Linked DNA regions of Oryzias latipes. The protein of the gene in region 1 interacts with the protein of each later gene in a pairwise test. Links are inferred from orthologs where the notes say so. Each region holds a gene or a part of one and is shown in the gene's direction. Other genes may lie near its edges.

The links.
Region 2: the proteins of wdyhv1 (region 1) and growth arrest-specific protein 7 interact in binary tests that used the Homo sapiens proteins (3 or more experiments, as listed by UniProt). The two-hybrid records come from large-scale screens. The link is inferred for Oryzias latipes from reciprocal best matches to the Homo sapiens genes NTAQ1 and GAS7.
Region 3: the proteins of wdyhv1 (region 1) and rpia interact in binary tests that used the Homo sapiens proteins (3 or more experiments, as listed by UniProt). The two-hybrid records come from large-scale screens. The link is inferred for Oryzias latipes from reciprocal best matches to the Homo sapiens genes NTAQ1 and RPIA.
Region 4: the proteins of wdyhv1 (region 1) and angiomotin interact in binary tests that used the Homo sapiens proteins (3 or more experiments, as listed by UniProt). The two-hybrid records come from large-scale screens. The link is inferred for Oryzias latipes from reciprocal best matches to the Homo sapiens genes NTAQ1 and AMOT.
Region 5: the proteins of wdyhv1 (region 1) and rabac1 interact in binary tests that used the Homo sapiens proteins (3 or more experiments, as listed by UniProt). The two-hybrid records come from large-scale screens. The link is inferred for Oryzias latipes from reciprocal best matches to the Homo sapiens genes NTAQ1 and RABAC1.
Region 6: the proteins of wdyhv1 (region 1) and TSC22 domain family protein 1 interact in binary tests that used the Homo sapiens proteins (3 or more experiments, as listed by UniProt). The two-hybrid records come from large-scale screens. The link is inferred for Oryzias latipes from reciprocal best matches to the Homo sapiens genes NTAQ1 and TSC22D1.
Region 7: the proteins of wdyhv1 (region 1) and c5h1orf50 interact in binary tests that used the Homo sapiens proteins (3 or more experiments, as listed by UniProt). The two-hybrid records come from large-scale screens. The link is inferred for Oryzias latipes from reciprocal best matches to the Homo sapiens genes NTAQ1 and C1orf50.

The regions. Positions count from the first base shown.
Region 1 is NC_019869.2:4,812,107-4,816,173, reverse strand, and holds the start of wdyhv1 (protein N-terminal glutamine amidohydrolase), read left to right. Parts: upstream 1-1,260; 5' UTR 1,261-1,307; coding exon 1,308-1,381; intron 1,382-1,678; coding exon 1,679-1,778; intron 1,779-4,067. UniProt on the Homo sapiens protein: Mediates the side-chain deamidation of N-terminal glutamine residues to glutamate, an important step in N-end rule pathway of protein degradation.
Region 2 is NC_019877.2:20,922,963-20,927,134, forward strand, and holds the start of growth arrest-specific protein 7, read left to right. Parts: upstream 1-1,370; 5' UTR 1,371-1,784; coding exon 1,785-1,964; intron 1,965-4,172. UniProt on the Homo sapiens protein: May play a role in promoting maturation and morphological differentiation of cerebellar neurons.
Region 3 is NC_019880.2:22,089,917-22,094,019, reverse strand, and holds the start of rpia (ribose-5-phosphate isomerase), read left to right. Parts: upstream 1-1,301; 5' UTR 1,302-1,350; coding exon 1,351-1,515; intron 1,516-2,269; coding exon 2,270-2,330; intron 2,331-2,498; coding exon 2,499-2,554; intron 2,555-4,103. Other genes in the region: uncharacterized protein LOC101171122, read right to left, coding at 1-668, 751-895, 1,159-1,194. UniProt on the Homo sapiens protein: Catalyzes the reversible conversion of ribose-5-phosphate to ribulose 5-phosphate and participates in the first step of the non-oxidative branch of the pentose phosphate pathway.
Region 4 is NC_019872.2:12,814,589-12,818,105, reverse strand, and holds part of angiomotin, read left to right. Parts: intron 1-103; coding exon 104-196; intron 197-2,859; coding exon 2,860-3,005; intron 3,006-3,085; coding exon 3,086-3,235; intron 3,236-3,517.
Region 5 is NC_019874.2:20,935,565-20,939,515, reverse strand, and holds the start of rabac1 (prenylated Rab acceptor protein 1), read left to right. Parts: upstream 1-1,143; 5' UTR 1,144-1,199; intron 1,200-1,413; 5' UTR 1,414-1,478; exon of another isoform or gene 1,479-1,526; intron 1,527-2,761; 5' UTR 2,762-2,775; coding exon 2,776-2,897; intron 2,898-3,275; coding exon 3,276-3,488; intron 3,489-3,663; coding exon 3,664-3,761; intron 3,762-3,916; coding exon 3,917-3,951. UniProt on the Homo sapiens protein: General Rab protein regulator required for vesicle formation from the Golgi complex. May control vesicle docking and fusion by mediating the action of Rab GTPases to the SNARE complexes.
Region 6 is NC_019879.2:17,035,975-17,040,085, reverse strand, and holds the start of TSC22 domain family protein 1, read left to right. Parts: upstream 1-1,306; 5' UTR 1,307-1,881; coding exon 1,882-4,111. UniProt on the Homo sapiens protein: Transcriptional repressor. Acts on the C-type natriuretic peptide (CNP) promoter. Acts to promote CASP3-mediated apoptosis.
Region 7 is NC_019863.2:24,468,050-24,472,276, forward strand, and holds the start of c5h1orf50 (uncharacterized protein C1orf50 homolog), read left to right. Parts: upstream 1-1,416; 5' UTR 1,417-1,538; coding exon 1,539-1,587; intron 1,588-2,319; coding exon 2,320-2,435; intron 2,436-2,530; coding exon 2,531-2,617; intron 2,618-2,691; coding exon 2,692-2,823; intron 2,824-3,784; coding exon 3,785-3,970; 3' UTR 3,971-4,227. Other genes in the region: p3h1 (prolyl 3-hydroxylase 1), read right to left, coding at 1-92.

The DNA.
Region 1 (4,067 bases):
CCTCCTATAATACAAAAACTCTGACAGCCCTAATTGGATCTAGTCTCCCCTGTGTCATTTCACACTATATTACACACAATCCAGTAGTTACCAATACCTTTAAAATTATGTTTCAATTCAGACAGACGTATGGACTCACTCAAGTGCTTACCACTAGTCCTATACACAAAAATCACCTTTTTCTCCCTGGTCAGACAGACTTCGTATTCATGATTTGGGAAGTGATTAAGGTACAGTATAATCAACTTTAAGGACATGTACCTAAGCGGTATATTTGCAAGCTTCAATGATCTTGCTTCCAAATTTTGTCTGCCTCACTCTCACTTTTTTTAGTACCTTCCAGTGTGTCGCTTCCTTCAGCAGCATGACCCTAACTTCCCTAACATACTGTGTTAGATGAGGTGTTTGAGTTGCCACTCAATTCAAAAAGATTCATTTCCAAAATCAAAGACTGCAAAATTCCTGCTTCCATCTTTGTTGTTTGATTGTCGACTGGTTAATTCAAAACTTCCAAACTTATGTAATACGTTCTTTGTTTGTTGGAGAACTGTTTCCAACATTCTACAAAACTCATTCTATGTCCCAGCATTACACAAAAAAGTTTTTTAAAAACCCAATTTTTCCAAAATACAAAGAAACCCATTTTAAACAATGAATGCAGTATACCCATGCAAGGAACTGCTACATTTACGTTTTGGTTTTCAAGAAAATAACTGTTAATAAATATAAAATCACTTGATCATCTGTTTTTTGAATGTACATATGTTACCAGTTTTTGGGAGTATTGTGTTTGTTGGTGCTCCTCAAAGTTTCCTTTTCCTATTTCTATTCCGTTACAGTTGTGAGTACTTTCTGGTGATAATTTATTTGATTTGGCATTTGATACTTTATTAAATTCTGGGAAATTCTTCATCAATGAGAGCAGATTTTTTTAAAATCAAATCATTATTCAATACATTTCATAAAGAGATCTGTTTACATTTTAAATCCTTGGAATTCAAGAAAAACAGAAATGCAATAAAACTGTCAATTTTCATTGAAGATCACATGTTGTATGACCATACCTAGTGTGAGCTACAATTCTAATGTTATTTATTTATTTTTTCTTTGTATTGTATTCTTTTTTCTTTTTATATCTTTCTATTGTAGTTATGTGAATGTGTACGTGTCATCCTTTGAAGTTCAATAAGAATAAAATAAAATAAAAAGTTGGTGAAATCAACGCTACAGGAATGGGCTTTTAGTTTGAAAGGACGGATGTGACGTACTGTATTTTCGGTGAGGTTCTTTCCGGTTAGCTTACAGACATGAAGGGTCAGTTAAAGAAAGGTGTGGAAGTAATACCAAGCCGGGAAAACTGCGTTTATACCAGCTGTTATTGGTAAAAACCAAGTTTTAACAAATCAGAAAAGCAGCCCACTGTCCTGCAGTCTTTAGTTTTGTGTCAATAAATCATTTATTGTCAAGAAAAACATCAAAATGCTAAGCGGATCCGCTCGGCTAATCGATATTCACAGTTTACATTGTTAAATGTTATACCCATTTTTAAAACTGTTATAGTGAATGAGTTATTTCAATGCCATCTGTCTAATTAATGATTGAATGAATTTTCAGGGAAATATAGTTCATTTTAATCAAGTGAATGAGTGGCTAATGCTGCTTTCCTTTACTTTCTCAGTGAGGAAAATGTTTGGAAGCTCTGTGAGTTTATTCAAGCACAGAAAATGGTTCCACTGGACCAGTTTGCTGTAATTTTCATCTCTAACGACACCAGAACGGTAAGAAGATCTGGAAACATTTTAAACGGCTTAACAAGACAATCGAATAAACAAAATGTTTGCTTTAAAAATAATATTTCAAAAAGTACCTCATACTGAGAATGATGGGCACCGAGCCCTCAAGGGTTCAGGTGGTCTCAAGAAATATTTGAAAGTAAATAACAGGCCTTCTCTGTAAAAAGAAAAATCCTTTTTGCAAAACATCTGGTAGTTTCAAAATACAGCTACAGTGATCCCTCGCTATAACACGGTTTACTTTTCACGGTTTCGCTACTTCACGGATTTGCATCGTGCATTGTGTTCTGCATTCTGATTGGCTAAAAAGTCACTTCACTTCTCTACCTGTGCGTCAATAACATTGCAGTTTAATATGTACACGTACGTAAATCAGCGTGCCAAATTTACAACAGATACGTGCAAATCATCTTGCAATTTCGAGTTTCTCTATAACCCATGAAAAAAAGGAGCGACAACAACAACTGCCTATCACTATGTTCTTCTCCCGAACAAACACAGCTGCACCGCGGGCTTCAAAGGGAGACTGCAGAGCGGAGTCAGGATGCAGCGGCTCAAGAGCAGTGAATTACACCTGAGTCACTATTTGTCTGACCGTACTTTGTATTTTTTTAAAAATCATTTTAAATATCTTCCCGTTTAATCCAAATACTCGGGTCGCGGTGGGCGGGGCTAATCTCCGCGATTTGAAGCCTTCTGTTCACATTGATGATTAAAATTCTTATTTGACAGTACAATACAGAAGATATTTGTTGAAAAACCTTTTCTAAAGTACTTTTATTTGTGAAACAATTCCTTAGCCTGTAAAACGGTTTGTTCTTTCTTTTCAATGTATAATAGAGAATTTAATTGTATAATAATTGTTAAAAAAAAAGGTTTCTACTTCACGGATTTTGCCTATCACGGGTTCTTTTTGGAACGTAACCCCCGCGAAAAACAAGGGTTTACTGTACTCCATTAATTGTGTCCAAATTGGAGGGCTGTGTTCTTCCTGGGCTGCATCTGAAGGCTGCTTACGTAACATGTTGTCCAAATTCAACAAGTCCTTTAAATATGGCCACCGAATACAGCCTTCTTTTTACCCGATTTCAAGGATTGCTCTGGTGTACCCTTCTATGCTGTCCATATCCCAAGATGCATAGCAGTAGAACCCGGATATTTTCTGACAACAATGGCTCCATGCCTGGTTCACTCCTCCTCCCTGTTCGGGACTCACGGTTGCTAGGCAACAGGACATTCACTGATGTAATGGCTGGAATTATCTAAAGGCTAGACTCGTCCAAATTCACAGCCATTAACATCTGACCTACCCGCTCAACAAAGGACCCGAGTAACATCGCCAGGGAAGACTGCGGCCATTGAAGGACGCAGACTTCGAATTTGGGAGCACCCAATATATAACGCTCAAATGTTGTGAAAGCGTCTCACTAAAACGGTCAATCAAACCAAACAAAGAAGTTCATCAAACAAATAGGCAATCCCTAAAACTGGCCACTACACACAGTACATTACAAAAACCAAAGAAATCCCGGACAAGCCCCCAATTTATGTTACACCCCATTTTAGGAAAAAGAAATACTATTTAATAAAAAAACAACCAAATTACTGTATATTTGCAGTATAAAGCACACTTAAAACCCTTAATTTTTTTATTTAAAAAGCAACAGTTTGTCTTAAAATCATGATCACCCTATCTATTAATTAGTTATGCTGCAAACAAGGTTGGGTGTTATTGTGAATACCCTCACGCGGCTAATGTGTGGCGATGTTGGACTGTTTTTTTGGTTACCAAAAAGGTTGTGTGATAGCGTAGTCACGGTAACGTTTGTTTTAGCGCTATCAGTCTGTTTTGTCCACGTGCTGCAAGCAAAGTAACGTGACTGACTGACGGACATTTCTCTGACTCTTTAATCTCACTTAATCTGCCTTGTAGTTCGGTGTGCTCTATATGTGACATATGCTCAAAATAGACCATTCATTGATGTTGTGCTTGATAATCCGGTGAGCCCTGTAGTGTGGAAAATACTGTACAAAGAACAAAGCCTGTATGTATGTTCTGCCCTGGAGATCCTTGCCCAGTCTGGTGCTCTGGACAATTAGGCACAAATGTGCAATCAAAGCTGGCAGAGGAGAAGGAAGACAGAAAACCTCCCACTCCAGCAGAAAATATAAAAGAAAATAGAGAGAGAAAACCCAAATGTACAAAAAAGCCATCACACTGTCATTTATCCATAAATTTTCTAAATCTGCTTAATCTGTTTTGAGGTCGAAGTG
Region 2 (4,172 bases), on another chromosome or scaffold:
TCAGTCATGCGTGTGACACAGACATCTGTAGTGAGGAAAACACATCCTGAAATGGATTTTACGTTAATATCCTTCATCTCAACAGTTTTAGAAAATTCCCAGAAACACTTTGTTTTGGCTCAGCGGCTTTCAGACAACAGACTTTATGTTGTTTATAATGGGGAAAAAATGGAAAAAAGCTAAACAGTTATGCAGCTACATAAGTCTTTCTGGCAACTGAAAAAGATATAAAATTTATTTTGAGGCCAGCTGTGAAGCTGAAGCCTGAACCAATGAAAATGGCACAGTGCTTTATTTTTCTATTGTTGAGTTGAGATTAATGGGTTGATGAGTTTTTCACATGATGTAGGTTTTTTTGTTTGTTTGTCTTTGGACAGTTGGTAGTTATGATGACACTGTTGGATGCAGCTCATCAGCAGAGTTGCAAACTACTTTTCGATGGCAGTTGTGGTCCACATATTTGTTCAGTATAGTCGTTTTTGCAAAGAAAACCATCAGAAATGTCTTTTTCACATGTGTGATGGACAGACTTAACAGTTTGATCTGTTAGATGGAGGGTTAGAAAGGATTTACATTAGTCAATGTTCAAGACTTTTCTTATAGACTCAACTGTAAATCACAATGCAATGCTTTTGCATAAAAAATAAAGTTACAAAAGTGATAACATTCATAAATTGTTTATTTTACTTGTATAAAGGTGATTGTGTTACTAAAATACAAACTTAAAATTTGATTATCTTTTATCCACAAATTCAACGGGTTTACATCAAGTTAATTGGTTTCTAAAAAAATGTTTCCGGTCAAACCCTTCAGAATAAAATCTAAACAAACTACTCTTTTTGGAGAAACAGATATTTCCTAAAAAATCCTTTAAAAAATCATCCAAATTTTTAATTTAAAAGAATGTTTACTTATATTTAAAGGAGATGAAGCCAAAAATCAAAGCCTACTAGATGTGCCAGTTTGTGACTGCAAATATGTCGAGGCAAAACCCAGAAAACTGATAAAATAAAATAAAAAACACAGTTGTATCAATTTATGAACTTTGTAAAAAAGAAAAAACTGCTACAGAGAATGCCATTCAACCTTTTAATGTAAAATGATAATTAACGAATTATGTTTTATTGTTGTCTCTTTAACTTTTAATTGTCTGGGTTATTTCTGAAAATCTTTTGTAAAATGGACGGATAATGATTTAAAAACAATGATGTCACAGAGAAACTACATTGAAGTGTCATTTCAAGTTCATAGATTTTATTTTTTTATTTTTTTATTTACCAAGGCTGTGTCCCACCAAGGTGGGGTAGCCTAGACAAGGCACACAATTTTAGCTCCCTCTGTCTCTTCCCCAAAAAAAAGATTTTATTTTGCATAACAAATAAAAACAACATTTCAGCCACACCTTTGAATTAAAAAATATTTTCATAATGAATTATCCTATGTTGAAGTTCAATGGGGTTGAAGAGAAACTTTCTTTGTTTTAATCAATTGTTAGAATGAACATGAAGAAACGGCGGACATGGTGGGGCTTTTCAGCTTTTACTTTGAAGGGAGAGCGGCCGCTTCCGCCGGTCGGCCCTCACTCGGTCCAGCCTCACGCGCCTCCTGGAGGAGACTTCACGCGACTTCAGGCAGAAGCGGAGGCGCGGAGTCCTGACAACACGGAGGAGGAGCAGATCCCGACATCTGTCCGGCTGCACTCGTTCCCTCTGTCTCAACTTGAACGGAATCGAACCAACGGTTCCCTCTGAGTCCGGGAGCATCCGTGGAAGTTCGGGCTGGAGATGTCCGGATCGTTCTGCAGAACTTTATACCCGTTCAGCGGGGAGCAGCACCAGCAGGGACTGAGCTTCCAGGCCGGGGAGGTGGTGAAGGTGGTGCAGGCTCTGCCCGGAGGCTGGTGGGAGGGAGAGAAGGACGGAGCCCGGGGCTGGTTCCCGTCCAGCTACGTGCAGGTCACGGAGGTAAGACCGGAACCCCTTCAGGTCTACGACCTGGTCCACATCCAGAACCTTTGTTTACATTTTTACAGCTGTTTCCAAATATACAGAACTAGATCCACCAACATGGTCCAACTTTACAGAACCTGGTCCAGTCCAAATTGAAACACTTTCGCTGTGCATGCAGAACCTGGTCACCCTTCAGAACCAGATCCAAATACAAAACACTGACCTCTGTCAATGTAAACAGAAGCTGAACCTGGTCCAGAATCTGGTTACATTCAGAACCCGTTTACACAAAGAGGCACTCTTTAAGAATTCTGAGAGAACAGCTTCCAGGGCTTCCCATCACAGTGGGACAGAGCGGCTGGGCCAGCTCCTCTTCCTCATTCCTGTCATTCCAGAGCGGGTTGCTCCTCACATGTGACCCCCCCCCCCCCCCCTCCCCCCCCACAGCTCTGAAGCTGCACGTGAAGATCCCCCTCCCCTGCATGATGATGAAGATGATGATGATGTTGATGATGCCGGGGAGGTTGGTGGCACCACCCCGCGCTCCTGTGGTTGTTGTGAGCCCGCAGGGGACGGGCGCCAGGCCCAGCCCCTCTCAGACCTGCCATTTTTATCGCATCTCCACCCGGGCTGGAGGCTCAGAGCAGGACCAGCGCGATGAGCCGGGTGTGTTCTGATGGAGACAAAACAAAGTTTTATCTCCTCTCTGGAATGTGCGGGTGGGCGGGGCAGCAGAGCAGTCCTGATCCGTCAGTCATCCTCCCTGCCCAGCTGTAGGGAGGATCAGCATCCCACTGAAGGAGACTTTGAGGAATCAGCTCTGATTCTGAGCGGGAAAGTTCTGTCACTCAGACCGCCACTACCAGCTGGTTTAGTGAGAAACTCCATGCCGACTCAGCTATTTGCAGCGCTCTCTCTGATTGGCTGTTGAAAACTGTCTCTGGTTGTGTGTTTTTTTTTTGTATTAAACATAACAGCTGCGTCTCTGAAGCTACATGCACTTGGCGTGCATTCAAGAACATGCTAAACACGTATTCTAGAACGCGCATTTAGCCCATGGTGTTCACACTGAACAAACAGGGAAGGGCTTCTTCTTCTTTTTCTACTGTTCACTAGCGCATGTCCCCCACCTATAGCTGGAAGAGGCGGGGTGTGAAACGTTGAAGGGGTGAAACTCTGGTCTCCAGGCTTTTTCTTTCACAGCTTAAAGGCTCGTACACACCGGGACGAATTTCGCCCACGATTTTCGCCGATGTTTAACGCCTCGTGACTAAACAAAGGGCACCAACGTGAGTGTGCACACCGACGCGAAAAAACACCAAGCGTCAAAGCGTCACTTTTTAAAAAACGCCTCTGGTTCGTTTTTTTGGTTCGACGCGCCGCGTCGAAAACTATACGACCAATGAGAACGGCGCTTTTGCACACGTGTCTGGAGCTTCTGAAGTTACAGTAAAACACAACTTGGGGGCACTCAAACACAAAACTGCCTTTCTGAGCACATATACCAGCGAAGAAGATAGACGCCAAGTAGCGTTTACACTGCCGCGAAGAAACAATGACGGAAATTCTAAAATATCCCCGAACCACACAAAAAACGTTGCGAAAAACGCTGGCGAACAACGCCTGGCGAATATTCGTCCCGGTGTGTACGGGCCTATATTCCGATTTACGAAAGATTTGGTGTTGTCGAATTGCGGACCGACACAATGATGAATTTTTCTTTCGTGATCAATTTTCAAATGGTTCAATGAATGAAAGGAGACGCCATCAACACTTCAATACCAAATTCAATTAGTTAAAGTTCGACCCGGTTTGACTTGCAACACCCATTTCGTACGTAGAGCCTGAAAACGGTCATACAAACTTGCGTAGCTACGCGTCAACGCTATAGTTTTTAACGCAGAAGCCAGAAATGCGCATTTACATGCATTTAACTTTACATAGAACTGGAAAGTGTACTACTGCGGCCGGTGTGAATGTAGCTTTAGTGTTAAGCTACGTTCACACCAATTATGTGCACTGGACTTTCACTACCAATACTAGCGCATAGGGCTGCACGATATGAGGAAAACTCGCGATGTGCGATATTGGTGATTAATATTGCGATAACGATATAATTTGCGGTATATAAACAACCAAAAACATAATTTCCATTTCACTGCAACAGTTTAAAAATTATACTCCAAATGACCCTTGTCGACGTAGGAGGCAAACATCTAACAT
Region 3 (4,103 bases), on another chromosome or scaffold:
TTTGAAGTTTTTTTTTTTTAAATTCAAACCGCAGAGATGACAAAGAATTGTCTGCGTCCGACACATTTCCTTTGGGTTTTTTTGCTGCTGGGGGCGCTCTGAGGGATGTGGTGGGGCCGGGGTTTGCTGCCATAGAAGCTGTGCTGGTTGCTGCAATGGGGGCTGAGGTGGGGACAGTGGGGACTGCGATGGGGGCTCTGGGAGCTGCGATGGGGCCAGCGGGGACTGCGATGGGGCCAGCGGGGACTGCGAGGAGGGGTCTGGGAGCTGTGATAGGGACAGTGGGATCTGCGGTGGGGCCAGCGGGAGCTGTGATGGGGCCAGTGGGGGCTGCGATGAGGGCTCTGGGAGTTGTGGTGGGGCCAGTGGGGGCTGCGATGAGGGCTCTGGGAGTTGTGGTGGGGCCAGTGGGGGCTGCGATGAAGGCTCTGGGAGCTGTGGTGGGGCCAGTGGGGGCTGCGATGAGGGCTCTGGGAGTTGTGGTGGGGCCAGTGGGAGCTGCGGTGGGGGCTCTGGTTTGACCTCTAGCAGCCATGGAGGATTTCCTACGTGGTGCGCTCCCAAATGTTTGAAAAACTGTGACCTGTTGACCAATGTTGCCGGACAATGGCAACAGTGAAAGTGTGACGCAGTCCGGCAACCTAAACCACACTTGATGACTGTGAATCCTAAAAGAGGAATGATGGGAAGAACATACTTCATGACTTGTGACTTGTGACTGACAGTTTCCATTCAGAACCCAGACTGTACCTTTGTGTTTGACGGACGAATGGTTTTCCATGTGGTGTCTCACAGCATGCTCTGCGCCCTTGTAGCGGCAGAACGGACAGTGGGAAGAACCGTTTAGGGTTTTCGGCGTTGGTTTTTCATTGCCCAATAAGACTGTAACGTGTCTCTGTAAAGAGAGGAAAAATACAGGTGGAAAAAACCGGAAAGTTTCACCTACATTGATTGGAAGACACAAAAAAGTTGAACATCATCATGATGATTACGAAAGTCCCGAGGAGTAGAGCCGCAATTCTAACTTGTAGTTCCGTGTGAAACCTGAACTACGTGGATATTACGACAGAAAAAAGCAAAAATACAAATAACAGCCTCATCCGTGAGGCGAAAATGTGTCTTATTGTCATGAATGCCCGTTTGTTTGTTGATGCGTACCTCCATCTTGCAGTTCCGTGTTGTGTCGCTGCACATGGACAATCTGACTGCAGCGAAGAAGAAGAAATGGAATCACGTTCTGTGGGCGGAGCCCAACGCGTTTAGCCCCGCCCACGTCGAGGCACACTGCCCACTGCAGCGAGGGGTAGTCGTCTTGGGGAGGCTCTCTTGCGCTTGCGGGAGGGGGGTGTCATGAGGCTACCAGGGTTCGTACCACTCCTCTGCGCTCCACCCTCGCGGAAGCTCCTCGCGCTCTCCAGTCACCGGCACGTGCGCTGCTCCCGCGAGTCTGATGCTGGCATGGCAGAGGAGGCGAAGAAGCTGGCCGCCTACGCCGCCGTGGACAACCACGTCCAGGTACCCTAGTCGCTGTCCTCTGAGCGAACGCGTCCGTTCGAGTCCTGCAGCAGGAGAGTTTGAGACGACGTCACGGCCGTTCAGCTAGTAGTTCCGGCGCGCGGCAAAGTTAGCAAGTACAACATTATCTAAATACTTTAAAGCGACTTAGCGCGGCTTTGCGCGGGCTTGTCCCGCTTTGAACCGCACTATGGTGCTGCAGCTAGGAAACATTTAGGGTGAAAAGGAAAACAGGGGCATGAGCGGTGTAGAAGTTAGTCTAGGCTGGAATTAACGGTGTTGTTAGCCATAAGTGTGGGGGGTCAGAGGTCAGCTCCTCCGACCGGGAACGGGAGCCCCCGTGGGCCAGAAAAGCGACCCTCAGGTGAAAGGTGAACCTAAACACCTATTTTAATTTCAATAAAAACAGTATCAATGTTATTTTTGTTTTGCTTGGACTTTCATGTTAATTATAGATTTTTATATATAGATAAAATGTGTTTTTATGAAAAATTTCACTCTCTGCAGCTTCTTGAAGCGTCTTTTCCAGCCAACATTGCTCCTAAATGTTGCCTTGATGTGTGTCTGAAAGACATTATTACAGTTGTAAATCACTAGCTTTTCTGTTTTTAAAATGTTCATGTGACTTTACCATTTATTGAAACATGAATATCATACTGAAACCTGATGAATGGGATTTAAATTAAAAATCAAACTGGATTGTGATCTTGTGAGCTGAATGGATTCAGACACCACGCCTCCTTGTTTTCTGTAGAACAACCAGGTGGTTGGAGTGGGCAGTGGATCAACCATTGTGTACGCCGTGGACCGACTGGGTGAGCGCCGTTGAACTGTTCATGTCTGTGTCCAGTGGGAGGAGCCTGCTTGCAGCCGCTGGTGATGGTTCCATTCCAGCAGCTGTGACTGCAGTCAAAGAGCAGAACTGACCACTTGGCGTTCATGGGTCCAGTGTTTATGTGGCCTCCGTTTTGTCTCTGTTGCAGCGGAGAGAGTGATGCAGGAAAAACTCAACATTGTGTGTGTTCCCACCTCCTTCCAGGTGAGTGGATGTGCTGTTGTGATCCGCTTTCATCGCTTTTCTTTTTGCTGCGAGTTTATTTTCTCAAGTTCCTCCACTCGGACCATTTGTGTTTGTGAAATCAGGAAACTGGCGCGTTGCACTACGACAGTTAGCACATTCTTTGCATGTGTTGCTACAGACCTCTCAGATCTTTGCTAAATGCAACATTTCAGTGCAAAGTCCTGCTTTGCTTTCTGCTCGATTTTTTTTGGGGGGGAAACTGCAAAACAGAATCAATGTCCACACGAACTCATGGTTTCTCACCCTTCAACGCTGACCTCAGCTGATCATCATCTGCAGATGCTGCACCCTTTGTGGGTTTGGGCAAAGAATTCACTAAAGATAGCTTCTCCTGTAGAAGTGTTTGAATCTGGCTCTTCAAACCTGCTGCTCCTACTCTGACTCCTTTTAATTACCCAGTGACACTTCAGTTTAAGTTTACTTACCTGGTTACTGAAGAAACAAATGTAAAACACTGCAACCTGATGCGTGTCTCACATTAAAGCGCAGCCAGAAATGCAACAAAACAAAACAGTTTGAACCAAACAAATTACAAATTTAATTACAAACTCTGAACATCAAATGTAAAATATAAATAAAAAGAACAAAAAATAGTTTCTTGTTTCTTCATAACTCCACCCCAAAAAAAGATCTATTTCTTCTTATTTAACTTCTACTTCTGTGTTTTCTGGTTGTTTATTTAAATGACTTTTCTACACACAGATTAGACCTGGGCCATGTGGCCAAAAAAATAAAATCTTTTTTTCACTCCATAACACTTTTTTTTTTCTCCGTCCTTTTAATTTCTTTAACAAAAATTACAAATGATGGGATATATTCAACAAAAACTACTTAATTTTAACATCACCTTTAAAAAGTAGGCTCCAGCACAAAGTTCAGCTAAACACAAAAGCTGTAGAAATGTCTGCAGATCCATTTTTGGGAGCTGCAGACAGCTGGAGCGTCTGATGAAGAGAAACGCTTCTCTCTGAACAGAGTTTGTTTCAGGTGTTCAAACAAATGTGTCGTCCTCCCACTTTTGTCAGCTACAACCTTCAAACCAATTTTGCTGTGTGTGGACAAATTGTTACACTACACAGAAAAACTATCGGTGTCAATTAAAAACAAGGAGGAGTGCAGACAGAGAGGACGTCACAACATGGAAACAACTGTTCAAAGTGATTTCTAATCTGTCAGAAAATAAAATGACCTTAAAGAAATCTATAAATAGGATGAACACATCTTTAAAAATAAAACATGGACAGATTCACTAAAGGGCAGCAGATTGAAAGAAAATGTATCTTTTTCCTAATTCTGCGGCTCTGTAATGTTAGATGTTGCTAATAAAGTTTCATTCACGTCTGTTATTGTGTTTAGAAAATACAGTTCATCCTCCCCGTCTTAAAGTCCGCTCTGTGTAAATATTGTGTCACTTTAAACCAGTTTGTGGTCCCAGTCTGGCGACACTCGGAACAGCTCGTTAGCATAGCATGATCGTAGCATGTTAGCATCAGGGTTTAACATCAGC
Region 4 (3,517 bases), on another chromosome or scaffold:
TTTGATGCACAAACTTACTATAAAATAACAATAGTTGTCTTTTCACAACTAGAAATGTCTGTGTGAGTCCAGATCATTTACTTCCGGTTTTGATGTTTTAAAGAGCGCATGGAGACGGCAAACAAGCAGCTCGCCACGAAAGACTGCGAGGGCTCAGAGGACAACCGCAAGACCATCTCACAGCTGCTCACACAGAGTGAGTGACACACACACACACACACACATACTCCAGCAAGCATGCCTACCTCAACACTAAACACCCTTTTCTTCTCCAATCAGTGGCCACATATTCCACAGTCAGTGTTTGAGTTGGCAGCGGAGCCATTTGGCTTTAGCTAATGGTCATTTAGCATATTTTTAAGGCTCAAAACTAACACAGGGATAATCTTTAAAGCTGCTGCAGATTAGTCAGTCCACATGAATGCAATTTTTGTTCAAATGTTTTCAATTTTTAACCCATGAAAACGTTTGGCTGATCAGCAGCTGGATTTACAGTTTTAGAAGAAATTCTTTGGAGATCACAAGTTCAATGAAATATTTGCAGACAAAGCCAGCAAACTCAACACAATGGCACTGAATTAATGGAGTGAAGACAAAAACAGTTTTTACCTAAAATCTTAAGAACTTTGCGGCTTGCAGATGCAGCTTGCAGAAAGGGGGGTCGAGGGCGGGGCTACTCAACTCAGCACCAATGCCCACGTAGAGGAGATTTTGGATAGACATGAAATATGGCTTTTAAAGACATTTAGATTGTGGGATTTTGGTTATAAACGTCATCATTAGAATTAAAAAAACATGTTTTTTTTTCCCAAGTTGTCATAAGGGGTCTCTAATAACCAGCTCAGTGGCTTTGTGGTTAGAGTGTCCGCTCTGTAACTGGAAGGTCATGGGTTCAAACCTAGGCCGAGTCACACCAAACACTTATTAAATGGGACCCAATTCCTCCCTGCTTGACACTCAGCATTAAGGGGTTGGATTCGGGGGTTGAACCACCGAATGCGGCTGTGTCTGGAGCTCACCGCTCCCCCAGGGGATGGGTCAAATGTGGAGAACAAATTTCCCCAATATTTTTTTTTAAGTCAGACTGTATATGAAAAGTGGAGTAAGTGTGATGTCATCGATAAACATGGTTTACTTCTGGCTCCAGCAAGATGAAGTCAATTCATTTTTTAGGAACACGGTGCCACCACGTTGGAATCAGAACCGTCTGTAAGCATTAATTGGTCTGAGTCGGTCAACGTTTCTATGGCAACCATTCTTGCCAATCAGGAGCTTGTTGGAAGTCCACATCGCTTCCACTTGAAAGAGGGGAAAATGAAATCTGTCAAAAAAAAAACTTTTGAATGTTTGATGTGAAACCTTATCCTTTGATTCAGGCATGTGATTGGCCAGTTTATAACCTACATTACAGAAAAAAATATCATGAAGAAATTAAGCAAGGGCTTAGTTTAAGATATCCGAGCAGGAATGGTTTTATAACAAGTAGAACGACTGAGTACTGGCTGTTTCTATAGAAGTCTATGGGATTTTGGTTTCTTGGAACCAGCAGGTACTTCCAGTTTGGAACTCGAGCGGGGTGGGGTCACTCGGTCCAGTTCTGATATACAGTTAATGGTTTAAGACAATGAAAAATGAAATTGTAAATAAGTTGAATAAATCAACTGTGTAGACAAGAAGTGACTGAGCTTCACTCTGTTTTATATCATTTACGGCAATGAAACCTCTTATTTGGACCGTTTCTGCATAAAAAACAACCAGAGTATAAGTAGCAGGAGCCAAAAAAGGCCAAAATAGTGCCAAAAAATATAGAAGTTGCACTTTTCTCCTAAAACTACAACTCTTCTGAACAAATCCACCAAACCTTGTGTATTATTGCATTTACACGTCAAATTCCCATCCCGCATCCCTTTTGATGCACGTTAAATTCGATGCTCAATGTTGTCGTTCACCTTTCAGCAAATCCCTTCAGCGAATCAGCTTTCACTGATTTACACAGGTAGTTCGGCCGAGCTTATTAGACAGGATGCCCTACCTGACTCAAACCTGTATGTTATCTGGGCTGGGGACCGGCACAGGGAGACCCAGACTTGGTCCCCTGTTGCTACATAGTTAGGCAGTAGCGTGAAGGCCCCAAGAACCCACACTCATTGCGTCCCTTGGGAGGCGAATCTTGGTTTCTTGCGTGCCAATCCTACACCCAGCCAACTGAGTCCAAAACAAAAAAAGTAAAAACAAGAATCGTCATGTCTCGATGTAAATAGGAAAACTGTAATAAAGTTCAGGAGAACCATCAAATTACCTTCCATGTTTGTTGTGGATGGCTCTTCTTCTGCTTTGCTGTGAGGAGCAAATACCGATACACACACCTACAGTGCACTCTAGTGGTTGTTAGTGGGAATTAACCGTGAAAGGGCAACCGATTGTGACAATACACTATATGAGCCTATTTATGTTTTTTTTTTTACTATCACAAAATAGTTGCTCCTAAACATATGCAAAAAAACAACAACAACAAACACAACTTATACTCAAAAAAATACGGTAAATAGTTTATAGTCTGGTCTTTATTGCTCTATCCTATTTATTCTACTTTGTTTCTATCAGGACGAACGGGTGAGCACATGAGCCTCTCCACAGGCCTTGAGACCCAGACATGTGTGCAGCCGCTGCACGTAGCATACGTGGAATAGTGTGTTACAAAAGCACTGCAGTTCCATTCAGGGGGTCTCAAAAATGCCACATAAATCACAGGGGACTTTATTAGTGTTTTCATTATAGTTTTTAAAACTAATCACCAGTGTGTTTGATGTGTTTGTGAAATAAAGCATAATAAGGATTTCTTTTTGAATGTGAATTCAGATAAAGAAATGCAGCGTGAGAAAGAGAAGCTGGAAATGGAGTTAAACGCCCTTCGCTCCACTGCAGACGACCAAAGGAGACACATTGAGATCAGAGACCAGGCTCTCAACAATGCCCAGGCCAAAGTGGTCAAGCTGGAGGAGGAGGCAAGGCTTTGAATCAGTGAAAAATGACCAAAAACGTTCACTAGTACAGTAAATAAGAATGTTTGTTTGTTTATGTGCAGCTGAAGAAAAAGCAGGTGTATGTGGAAAAGGTGGAGAGGATGCAGCAGGCCCTGGCTCAGCTCCAGGCAGCGTGCGAGAAGAGAGAACAGCTGGAGCACCGACTCCGAACGAGACTGGAACGAGAGCTGGAGTCTCTACGCATGCAGCAGGTAATGCAGCCGCATCTCAAAGGAGACCTGCATCAGTGCTGATGCTCTGATGTGCTTCCAGTTTTCTATTAGCACACAAAAAGCAGTTTCCTATTTTAAGTCATGTATAGTTTTGTTTTATCTCTGTCAATATTAATCTAGCTGAAGCTTCCTTAAGAGAAGCTCTATTTGTCTTCAGATTGAATATATGTCTGCTAAAACAAAACACATCTAAGTCTATTTCTTTGGTGCAACTGTTTAAAAAATAGACTTAAACTGTACTAAAAGGAAGGAATCAAGATA
Region 5 (3,951 bases), on another chromosome or scaffold:
TTTTCAAAGCGTTCCCCGTGTTGTTTTCTAGGAAGGTTTCTGCATAGCGGCAGGAGTTAATTAGAAATTAACCCCCCAGAGTCGTGGGCAGGACTGCTGGCATGGAGTTAGCCCCCCCTTACCACCATCCCTTTACACACTCGCTTACAGCCCCTCACAATCACAACTTCCACTGCACATTAGTGGTGCAACAAAAATTGTGAACAATATTGGAGCTATCCAACCGTACAGTTTTGAGCCAGATGGCAGCTCAGACGAGGAAAATGAAGCCCAAATGTGTCAGAATGAAGCATCAGAATGGAGCAGTGAGGGAGCTTGGTTGGTGTAGTAGCTTCTACGTCACACTTACACGTTTTTTTGCAACAGCTTTTTGCGTCTAATTCACATCAGTTTGCATAAAGAAATACTCAGAAATGCAATTCTAAGCTAAATTTTCATTTTCATCGGAGTGGGTATTTTAATTGTAGCTAGTAGTTGTCATGTTAAGTCTTTGTGTGTACATTGTGTGCCACAAACGAACACTCACTATTTAAGATTTTCTTCAAACTTGCAAGCAGCTACCACCTATAATGAAATGCATCGAGATGTGTTTAATTACTGTCATATATGCCTAGCTACAATTGCTAATGTTATCTTTACCGACTCGGTACCGTTCCTCTGAACAGAGTTATGTAATCAGTAGGGTGGGGGACAACACATACAAAACACACAGCTCTTCAATTGTTCGATTAAAAACACACACACAGGAGCTCGTTGGCAGTTATACTTCACGTAACACCACGCAAAATTAGCAGAAAAACAATTCTAGAGACAAATAAGACGGTCTATTGTTTGTTTCAACGACGGTCGGTGCGACGACATGATGATGAATCCCGCTGAACTTATTAGTCTAGCAGACGCTAAGGCGTCAACTAATACAGCGTAACGTTAAACACGCGCCTTTAAAACACTATTAGGTTACATTTTCCACAAAGAGAATATTCCTAGAGTGCATTAGACCTCACCTTTCAGCCGCGATAGCTTGCCTGACGCTGGATGATCTAGCAACTTCCACAATGCAACGTGCGACGTGACAGTGGCTAGACGTGAGTCGTAAATTGACCAATCACAGCTCTCGGGCTGGGTTTCATAACGTAAGGTCACGTTTTTGCCACACTTAACATACCGATTGTTCCCAGATTGTTCCTAAAAGAATCAAGGTAGTAATCTCTGTCACTTTGGCACTAAAAATGTTTTTTGATTTCTTGTCGACTTCAAAGTTAAATAGAGGAATGAATAAAATATTTTTATATGGTTAAATGTAAGGGAAAAAATAACATCATAGACTGGGGAGTTCTTTGGTGCAACCAGCAGGGGGCAGTGTGCGGCATTGGTGTTGTAGGAAGTTCTTTTCTTCTTCTTCTTCTTCTTCAGCCACATCACATCCGTGAGGACCAACAGCAACAAAACAACTTGGCTTTTTATCCATAACTTGGTCTGTAAGTATCTACATCGTCTGTAGGTTTGACATTTGACACATCACGAAGGTAAAATCTTATGTCTTTTCATTTCAATGTTTATAAATTACTGTGATCTTCGTACAATCAGTTTGATTTAACATGAGACACGAAGAAGTAGGTAGTATTCATTTTATAAAAGTTATTCCACTTATAATTCGACACATATGGACAAATTTGATCCTTAAAAGATTTTTACTTGCTCAAAATGTCGTTTTCTGGCTCAGTTCTCGGCCTTTGTCAGTGATGTGGCAGTGACCAAGCCCTGTTGACAAAAATTTTCCACTTACGAGATCCGCTCCTATGTTTCTGGCCAATCAGGAACAAGTTTGAATTAAAATCTAACCTCTATGCTCTTAAGAATAATGTGGAAACTAGTGATCATGTAGTTTTTCTTTTGTAGTTACTGCTGTTTCTCCATTTTAAACACATTTTATAAAATATATCAATTGTTATTTACCTTTAAAAAATAAAGTAAACAGGTTTTCCTTTCCTTTTTCCTTTTTTATTTATTTATTTAAGTTTGCTTTTGATGCACCTCGAGGAGTGTTACAAAAATCGTAAAGATTGTATGGTTGTATGGTGTATGGTGTTTTATTTCCCATTTAAACAGGGGAAAATAAAGAAGAATCCAGAAAAATTCTGACATGTTTTATAAAGGATACATATCGTTTGTACATTGAAAAATACGAGGAAAAATGCAAACTTCCAATAAGACAATCTTTTTTTTTCTTTTTTTTTTTTTTAAATTAACTTTAGAAGCAAAATGGAGAAACTAAACAAAACAAAATCTTTAAACCACTTGACAAACCCAATGATGTAACAACATCCCACATGCAAACTTGGCATGCACTTATCTGCATGTTAACAGTAAACAATAGGCAAAAAAGGAAAAGAAAAGGAGTCAGATCTTTCCTGAGCTTCTATCTTCCGTTCATTTGTTTACTCAGTTACCCATTGTAGTATTTGGGTATATGTCTTCAGTCATATGTATATATTTTCTATTTTATGATTTTCTATAATTATTATTAATACTTAGGCTCTTCATTAAACAACCTCAAACTCAAAAACGTTAATATTCTTTTATCCCACTTCATCTCTCGTAAAAAACATCTATCTCCATATAAAGGAAGGCCATTTTTCCACACAGTTTTTGGACTATTTATCTTGTGCTGATCCGAAGAAGGGGGAAAAAAAAGTATGTGAAGGAAAAATCTTAAGACTATTTCTTTTATTTTATTTATTCTATTTTCTTTTATTTTCAGGAGAAGGTTTGCAGATGCCATCTGGAGTACCAAAGGGAGAGAACTGTCAAGTGGACATGGACAGCAAGGCTGGAGATCTGTTTACGGCTGAAGATGCTCACCCAACTGGCACGGGTGGAGCTGGAATCCTTTCAAAGTACGAGTCAGTTTTGTTTTTTTTAAAAAGGAGTTTAGTGACCCAAACAACTTTCTTCGGTGATGGACGTGGACATTAAACAGCGTTTGTAGAAAAACCACAGCAATGGTGCTAAGGCTCTGTGAGTTACTGTCTTTACACATCCACTTTTGGGGGTGGAGTTAGTCCTAAATCCTCATCCTCCTGTTCTGTAGACTGTGCCTCATTACTTAAAATTTTTTTTTTTTTAAAGTTTTGTTTTGTCAAAGTTTCTAAGAATTTCCTTAATCAAACTACAAAATACTTTTTTGTTTTGCTCATATTGTCAAAAGTTGTAATGCATTGACTTTTTCCTTGAGAGTTTGTACGCTTTATTACCATTTTACCTTTATTTTGTAGGCTCTGGCTCCCTAAAGGCTTCTCTGCCAGCATGGCCAAGGAGTGGATTGATAGGCGCCGATTGTCCATTCGACCGTGGGCCAGTTTTGTGGACCAACGCAAGTTTTCAAAACCACGAAACTTCGGAGATGCATGCCAGAGAGTGGTGAAAAATGTGGAAACTTACAACAGCAACTACACCTTCATCTTCCTGGGTCTCATCCTGTACTGCATGTAGGTGTAAACCTGAGTTTGCTTTGGCCTTACCTCAAAACATTATTGAAGTTTTATGAAATAACAGATGCAACACTGACTGCACACACTAAGGCCACCGGGATTGAGAAAAGAAAAAGAAAAGATTGAATCAGTAACAGCATTATGAGCCTTTTTTTTTTTCTTTTCTTGTCAGTATAAGCTCCCCTATGCTACTGATTGCATTGGCTGTGTTTCTTGGTGCCTTCTACATAATCCACCTGAAGTCTCAAGAGTCCAGACTGGTTGTTCTTGGTAAGTAAAACAGAAAAACTGCTGTCCTTAACTTGCCTGAAAGTGAAAAAACTTTTTTTCAGAGTTTTTTTCAGCCATGCATGAAATGGGAGAATCTTATAGAAAGCCACAGAGAATTATGTTTTCATGTGTTTGCCAACTTTGTTTTTTTCCAGGCAAACAGCTTAATGTCCCTCATCAGATGGGTCTC
Region 6 (4,111 bases), on another chromosome or scaffold:
GCTTTAAAATAACTTTGTGTCCAATGATCTGTCAATGTCTGATCGTCTGATACCAAAAAGGTTATGGAGACACCTGAAAAGATAAATAAAAAAGGAGAATAACTAATGTACAGAAAAGACCAGAACACTAAAAAAAAGAGATGTTTGACTGAGAGTTCGTTGACCTTGGCAACATTAACAATCACCAAATGTGTTTTCTTCTCTCTGCCTCTTTTACTCACTCTGTCTGACACAGGGGAGAGACAGAGGCCCCAAACAGTACCTGTGTGTAGAATAATCCTGCAGTGTACCCAACACCTGTGTCTGCAGAGGGATCCAGCAGCTCTCTGTCTGCCTTTGTTTCACTAACACTGATGTCCTCCTGTTTTGCCCAATCAAAATAAAACGTTTATCACGTATCAGATTTTTATGTCTTTTCCTTTAAAATATTTGAAGTTCTTTCTAAACATTGATTTAGTTATTTATTTGCTAGTGCAACTATCAAGTTATCTGTAACTGTTGCACATATTTACACTTCGTTGATAAAGTAAATTTTGAATTAATTATTGTGAATATTCGGTTCATTTATTTAGCCTGATGCTATATAAAACAATTTCTTGTAAACTGATTAATTAAATTAAAGAAAGTTAAGCAAAAATTATGTTTACCAAACTGCTGTTTATGATTTGGAACAACCCATTCCAGAATGTAGAGGGGTTTAAAAATCTACAGATGTGTTACATAAACGGAAACAACAATTGAAAATAAACACAAAAAATTTCTAATTGATACGATTTTTTTGTCAATATGAAAGAAAAAAAAATTATAGATCATATTTCAGACTAAAACAAAACTATTTCATGAGTGAAAACGATTATAATTAAGAAAATCAAAATAAACTATTTTAATGAATGATTTGTGTGACGTTTGCAAGGTAAATACATCATGTTACTCTTCATTTAGTTTTTTTAGTTTTTATTTCAATGTGTACGTAAAAATCTAGATGGTATAATCCAGTGTGGTGTCGCGTGGAGCGCCTTCACTCGGCTCTTTACGGCAAATTCCGTCGATGTTGATATAAAGTTCGTGAGCCGCCGCCTCACCCAGACTGCTTTATGTCTGGCAGGAGAGGCCATGCGCAGTCGCCATATTACGGCACACCCCTCCCTTTCAGTGCCGTCACAGCACAGATCCACAGCAGCCGCGAAGGAGGCCACATACTGAACGTCGCCGCCACTGGGGAGGACCGGTGATACAGCAAAACCAATACCAGAAACGAGGATTAGATGGAATGGATTTAGCCTCTGCACTCCGGTATTAGGTGGATGTTTTTTTGCATTTGCATCACCGTTTCTCTAATGAAAAGGCTCCTTTGTTTACTTTGCTTAATCTGGGTAAATAAGTAGTTTGAACGACTCACTACACCCTCAGCATAGCTAGCCGGTGATGGAAACTGGCAGCTAACAACTAGCTGACGATACTCCTCTGTCAAGCTAGTATTTGATTGAACCTCCTAACGGGGGGTATCGCTAGTCAAACTTGTGTACTCTGCAACTCGAAAGAGTGAAACACACGGGCTGTTCGTTCACTGCTAACAAAGGCTCCAGCGGACGTTAACCGGCGAAGTACAACTGGCATCAGCTGACGTTAGCGGCTAGCTGTTGAACAAGCGGCCACTAGCTTTGCTAGCTGTCACAAGAAAACTCTGAATCCTGTGCGCGAGGCTGTGGATATTGGCACGGGTTTGCCCAAGTTTTGAGGCCAACCGCCCTACTTTCTGACTTGCCTTATATTTTTCAGTTGGGTTGTATGTTTATTGTAGTTTTTGCAAGACGGCGCCGTTAACGAGCCACAGTCTACATTCTGTCAGAGAGCAACTACCGCCCGGCGGATCCCCTCGAAATGCATCATCATCCGGACCCTGCAGGAGACTCTGGCAGTGGTAGAAAGATGGCGCATCCGAATGCCACACATAGAAAGGGCAGCAACCCAAACAGCGGGACCAGTTCGTCGCTGTCAACACCGGCGAGCGCTCTGGTCAGCAACAGCCACGTTTCGGCCGATGATTATCATGGCTCCCTGTTGATTCAACCTCCTGCTGGTTCTTCCTCCCCGGGTCCCCATCCTCCTCCTCACAGCCTTAGCCTGCATCCCCAGCCCCAGACCACTCAGTCGACTGGAGCACAGATGATGAAGAAGAAGAGCGGATTTCAGATCACAAGTGTGACTCCAGCGCAGGTGTCGGTTAGTACGAATAATAGTATTGCAGAGGACACTGAAAGTTACGACGACTTGGATGAGTCCCACACAGAGGATCTGTCCTCTTCTGAAATCTTGGATGCGTCCCTTTCTCGAGCGAATGATGCTGTTGGCGCGGAGAGGAGCTCTTCAGAGGAGACGCTGAACAACTTTCATGAGGCAGAGACCCCTGGAGCTGTCTCCCCAAACCAGCCTTCACACCCCCACGCTCTGAGCCAGGCACAGCACACCGGGACTATGGTGAACGGGACTGTACACTCTCATCACCCCAACCACGCTCAGAGCTACCCCGTGTCATCTAGCATCACTCCATCTACACACGCTTCCAGAGCTTTACCTAGTTTTACCCAGAAGATGCCTTCTAGCGTGGAGGGTCCTCAAGAGAATGTTTCCCATGCTGCCCCTCCAAGTATTGCTTCTCAGTCTGTGGGGATTGTGGCCTCAGGATCTGTCCCTGGAATGCACAGCTCTTCAGCAGGCACCACACTTAGCATAGTTAATCCCCAGACCAGCAGTGTGAATAATGTGAATGCTTTGAGCTCTGCCAGTGTGCCTGTGAGAGGGGGAATCAACACAAGTGCTAGCAGTAGCGGCGGTGGCTTCCCTCTGAATGTGCTTAACAGCAGTGAAGCTGGAGGCGCTGCTATTCCAGCTGGAGGTAACCATATGTCCAGCGCTAATCTCAGTGTGATCCAGCAGCACCAAAACATCAACCCAAACATCACCATGGCTACTACCACCACTGCTGCTGCTGCTGCTGTGAGTGCCTCTGGCGGCATGGGGGTTCCCAGCGGGACACAGGGAAGAGTTGGATCAGCTGCACTGCAGCCTGTGAACTCCTCTGCTACAGCTGTGGCCTCAGCTCCTGTTTCATCCGCTCCTGCCATGCCTGCTCCTACTCCAACTCCAGTTTCAGCGCCCACAGTGGCTATTACAGGCTCTCGCTTCAGGGTGGTGAAGCTGGACTCTAGCTCTGAGCCCTTCAAGAAGGGGAGATGGACGTGCACTGAGTTCTATGACAAGGAGGTGCCACCCTCTGCGACCTTTACCTCAGCCCCAGATGCTGGCTCTCTCAGCACACGTCATTTTGTGTCTGAGAGCTTTGTTGGAGCCTTGGAGAGGGAAAGCACGAGTGGTGGTACTGCAAATACATTGAGCCATTACAATGAGAACACTGGAAGTGGAGAGGCTGGAGGGCCCCCGGTACTTCAGCATGCCCAGGATTTTGCCTCTCCTCCTCAGGGCTATCGAGGGATGCTGCCCAGTGGCTTAAACATGGGAGTACCTCAAACCCAACCTCATGAGATCGCCCATTCACAAGTGAAGACTACTGTAGCCCCCTCAGCTTCCACAAATATTCATCAGCCTGCACCCATGCCAGGGCTCCAGACCACCGTTGGCTTGCCTGCACCTACTGCCCAGCAGCAGCTCACCTATGCCCAGGCAGTTGCCAACCAAACCCCAGGCTCTTCACAGGGCCTGCTGGGTGTTCAGCAGCAGAAGATAGGCTTTCCCACCCTTCCACAACAATCAGCTGCTACTTCATCTGCACCCCCAGTGTCAGTGAGGGCTCCTGAGTACACCCAGCCCCAGCAAGGGGTCCCCCAGGCAGCTGCTTCTCCCCCTCTTTCCAACCAAACTGGCTCAGTGCCCTCTGGGCCAGCAAATGGATCTAGTCAGATGATTGGCGGTCCCCAGCAGTCCCAAGGACTCCAACACATACAGCCCACCTCTGTTCAGTCCACCTCTTCCAGCATACCCTCTCACATTGGTGTAGCAGCTCTTGGCCGGCCACCTCAGAACCATCCAGGCCATCTTGATTGTCAGAAGCCGCAGACCCTCCCCACGCAAATTCAAAATCCAGGCCTGAGCA
Region 7 (4,227 bases), on another chromosome or scaffold:
TCATAGGGCTCCAGCGGGGTTCCGGAGCTGAAGTCCGACCTGCAGAGCGGCGCGGCGAGGCAGAGGAGGAAGAGCGCGGAGCGGAGCTCCATGGTGGGAAACGTCCGGGCCGAGCGGCTGGAACCGAGAGGGGAGCTGGTGGGGAGGTGTCAGCGCTCAGGCCGGGGCTTGCTGCAGGAGGTGGGGTTGGACACTCAGTGCACACCCCCAAATCATCAAGTTACATTTTGAAACGTCCATTTACCCACATTTACATAACTAAACGTTTGTGTTTACATGACGCCCTGTCCCATCATCATGTTTAATGAAAAGTGCTTTTTTCCCCTTTTAATATTTCTTTTTTACTATTTAATTTCTTTAAAAAAAACTCCGATCACTAGAAATTTTTATCCATACTCAAAAATAACTTGTATACAAAAATGTTATTTGCATGTTTTTGGTAAAAATAAATTTTCTTATGGGCGTGAAACTTTACTTTTCTAAATGCAAATAAATGTTACCACTTGTTATACTAGCAACAAATGTGACATATGTTAGTAAATGTAAGAATTTATTTTGACTTTTTAGTAATGGCAATAGTGTTACATGTCGTCCTTAAGCCTCTTTTTTTAATTAAAGTTTAAAGCTAAGGTAAAATATGAGGATAAGAGACTTTGTTGATCTTAAAGTGGGAAAATCATGTAAAACTAAATGAGTTAAGGTGATTCTAATGGAAAGGCTTGTCAGTCTAAGTAAGATAATATGACGTGTTATTTTTCTTTAAGGTATGACTTATGTTATCATTTTAGGTACCATTTTTCAGTGTTTTTACATGTAGGCTTACCTGTTTTTGTTAAAAAAAAAAATTAAAATAGCTTTTTTATTGATTCAAAATGATTCATTTATTTATTTAAACTTTTTTTAACCGCAAAAACTTCCTGGTGCCCCATTACCCAAACCTGTACTGGAGCAATAACATGCTGTCAATCAACCCCAAGCGTAGATCATTTACTGAATTATAGTACACATTTTAGGATTGTAATCCTAAAATTTCAGATATTTTACACAGGTTTAAAGCTTTAAGAAATGTGACAAACGAACAATCTTCTGTTGGTTAGGATCCAGTTATTTAAATACTCATGGGGGGGGGGGGGGTAAAAACAACTAAGCTATGACACGTGCGATGCTGTAACTCCAACATGTAACAAATATATCAGCTGTAACCTGGGTTTGGGGATTTAGGGGTCCAAAGTTATGCCTGAAAAGGGAAAAAAACGTTTTATTGGGGCTGATATAATTTTTTTTAACTTTTCATTGATTATTGATTATAATTTATAACTGGGGTAAAAACAAACAATATAAAAAAAGCCTAAATTGAAAGAAAAGTTTATTTGCTTTGATTTCGTACAGGCACATATGTGTCCTACTAAGCCAAGAAAAAAGGGTGGTGGCCACAGTATTTTCAGCACGTTACTAAACCGGTGAGTGGAGAACGAAGAGCAGCCCTATAAATCTCGTTTTCGGTAGTGAAGAGGAGTTCAATAGCGATTAAACATAAAATGGAGAGGACGGTTAGTCTACCGAACCAGCCTGAGAACACAACTAAAGGTACCAATTGATTGTCGTTTTTTTCTTGTGAATTTTGTTAACCATTATACGATTAAAATAGCTAAACAGTAATTACATTTTTTTATTTTAAGCATCGTTATTCTGTTATTACTTTATCTTTATGTTGCTGTTTTCACATATACTTTCTACCACACAAGCTGAGTCTTTTAAATTTTCGTGTTTGTGGATCCGGATTTTGTTTCATTTATGATCTTTGTTTGAATGTTGATGGACAAAATGTTCCCATATCCGTTGAGACGCCCCTCCTACAACCACTAATGTCATTTATATGTGGGTAGGTTTTGTGAAGTGTCACAAACACACAATAATTAAAATGTAACCAACAATCTGTTAGAATTTCCTTCAACGCAGATCCGAGCTCTTATTTTGAAAAACTGGCGCTTGACAGAAGCAGAGATCTTAACACTAATGTTCCAACAGACAAAGATAAAACAAACAAGAAAAAGTAGAAAACAATTAAAGTCAGAAAATAATTACTCGATAATGCTAACCTAACCATTTCTATTGAGAATTAATTTAAATTCACTTCCTTTTTTGCTTTCATATATTCATTAGTTATTCCACTGTAAGTACAGGACACGCATAGTACCAATTTATATTACATTATAAATTGGTACTATGCGTGTCCTGTACTTACAGTGGAATAACTAAAGAAAGAGACTTGTGGCTGCAACATTAGTTTTCTATCATGTAACCTTCCTTGTGTTGTAGTCACTCTGGTTGAGAGAAACCCGGCACCCAGTGGGCTGGAACTGGTCAGCTCCTACCAGACCAACAGAGTGGGAGACCCCATGGATCTGGTGGCTCTGGCAGGACAAGTACAGAAGGTGTGTGTCTTTTCACCCCTCATGTCACTGACGCATATAATCCAAGTAACACCTTAAATACGGGGTTTGATTTTCTTTTTTTTAAATCTTCCTAGGGAGACGAGTTTGTTAAAGCCAACGCTTGCAACAAGCTGACAGTGATTGCAGACCAGATCAGATATCTGCAGGAGCAGGCCAGGAAGGTACAACTGCACCAGATCAATCTGGGAGCGCACACATCTCAACCCTCTTGGATCTCACTCGTTTCTGCCGTCAGGTTTTGGAAGAAGCAAAAAGAGACGCAGACCTCCACCACGCCGCCTGCAACATTGTAAAGAAGCCGGGGAACATGTATTTCCTCTACCAGCGTCCATCTGGACAGAAGTACTTCTCCATCATCTCACCTAAGGTTGGAGCCTCACTTGAAACACAAACGTTATGTAACATTTCTGTGAATGAACATGAACGCCTGACTTGACTGTGCACGTGCTAAGGGGGTTTGATGTTCAAAGTTCATGCAACTTTAAAGGAAGCTGATAGATTCCCAGCACGGTTTTGTCCGGACCAGCTGGTTTCAGTAGAACTGAGAGTTTTGTGCAAAGCAAACAGATTATTAAAGTTTTTGGAGTTGTTTTTTTTTTCTCTCCATAGAACATTGCTGAAACAGCAACAAATGATAACCTTGTTTAAGCATGGAATAAAAATGTCAATTCCCTTTTTGAACCCTCAGTAGTCTCTAAACTCACTGGTGAGTTTGCCAAACACATTGGATGTTGACAATGATAAACCCATTATTATAGTTTCATTCCAAATTTAATTTGAAAGTTTCAAAAAGTTTTTAGCTTTGGAATTTTTGGTTTAAAACAAACATAAGACGCATATTTGTGATTCCACTTGGAATAAATCCTTGGAACTTTGAGTGGAGCTTCACCTGTTTTTTTTTTTTTTTAAGACAAATTTTACATTTTCTTTTATCTCGTCTTTGCTTTCTATTTAAATTTATACTTTTTTAATGTTTGATCTGCATTTACATTTTTCCATTCGGAATTAAATTTTATACAGTTTGAGGTTCAGTGTTGAATTATTGTGTAATATTCTAATAATAAATCTTTTGAAAATAAGCTGGTGTTGTATTAAAAAGATGTATATCAAGCGTTACCACAAAAACTGTTGTAAAGACAATTTAGAGCAAATTGTGAAAGGAGAAAAAAAAATTAAAAATAATGCCCCAGATTATTAAAAGGGTTCAACTGTTGCTGCTTAAAGAATTAACGATTATTCTCTAATATAAAACATTGGAGAAAAAACTGTTTCTTTTTCTTTTGTGAGTCTGGAAAGTAAAAAACAGTCTGTTTTTCTTCTCTTTGAAGGAGTGGGGACCAAGCTGCCCTCATCCGTTTTTAGGAGCGTTCAAACTTCAGCACGACATGTCCTGGACTCCTGTGGACGAGGTGGACAGGAGGGACGCAGAGATCGCCATCATGGACAAACTTCTGAGCCAAAAAATAGCCTTACCGTCTTACAACGGCCCCAACTTTAAAGGCCTCACTGAATAAAAGTCTGCTGACAAGATAAAGAACTTTTAAGAATGGACAGAACTAAGCCAAATAAAAGACTAAGAACATTTTTTTAAATAAAAATCACTAACATGGTGGTTGGTTAAAGTTTTCTTTGACAAACCAGACCCTACAAGGTGTAAAGTTGACAGCTTTGATATATTTTTAAGTCTTAATAGGTTTGTTTTGTTTTCAGAGCTTCTTCACCCACTGGGACAGTGTTCTGTTCATCTGATAACAAGCTGCCATTTCAATAT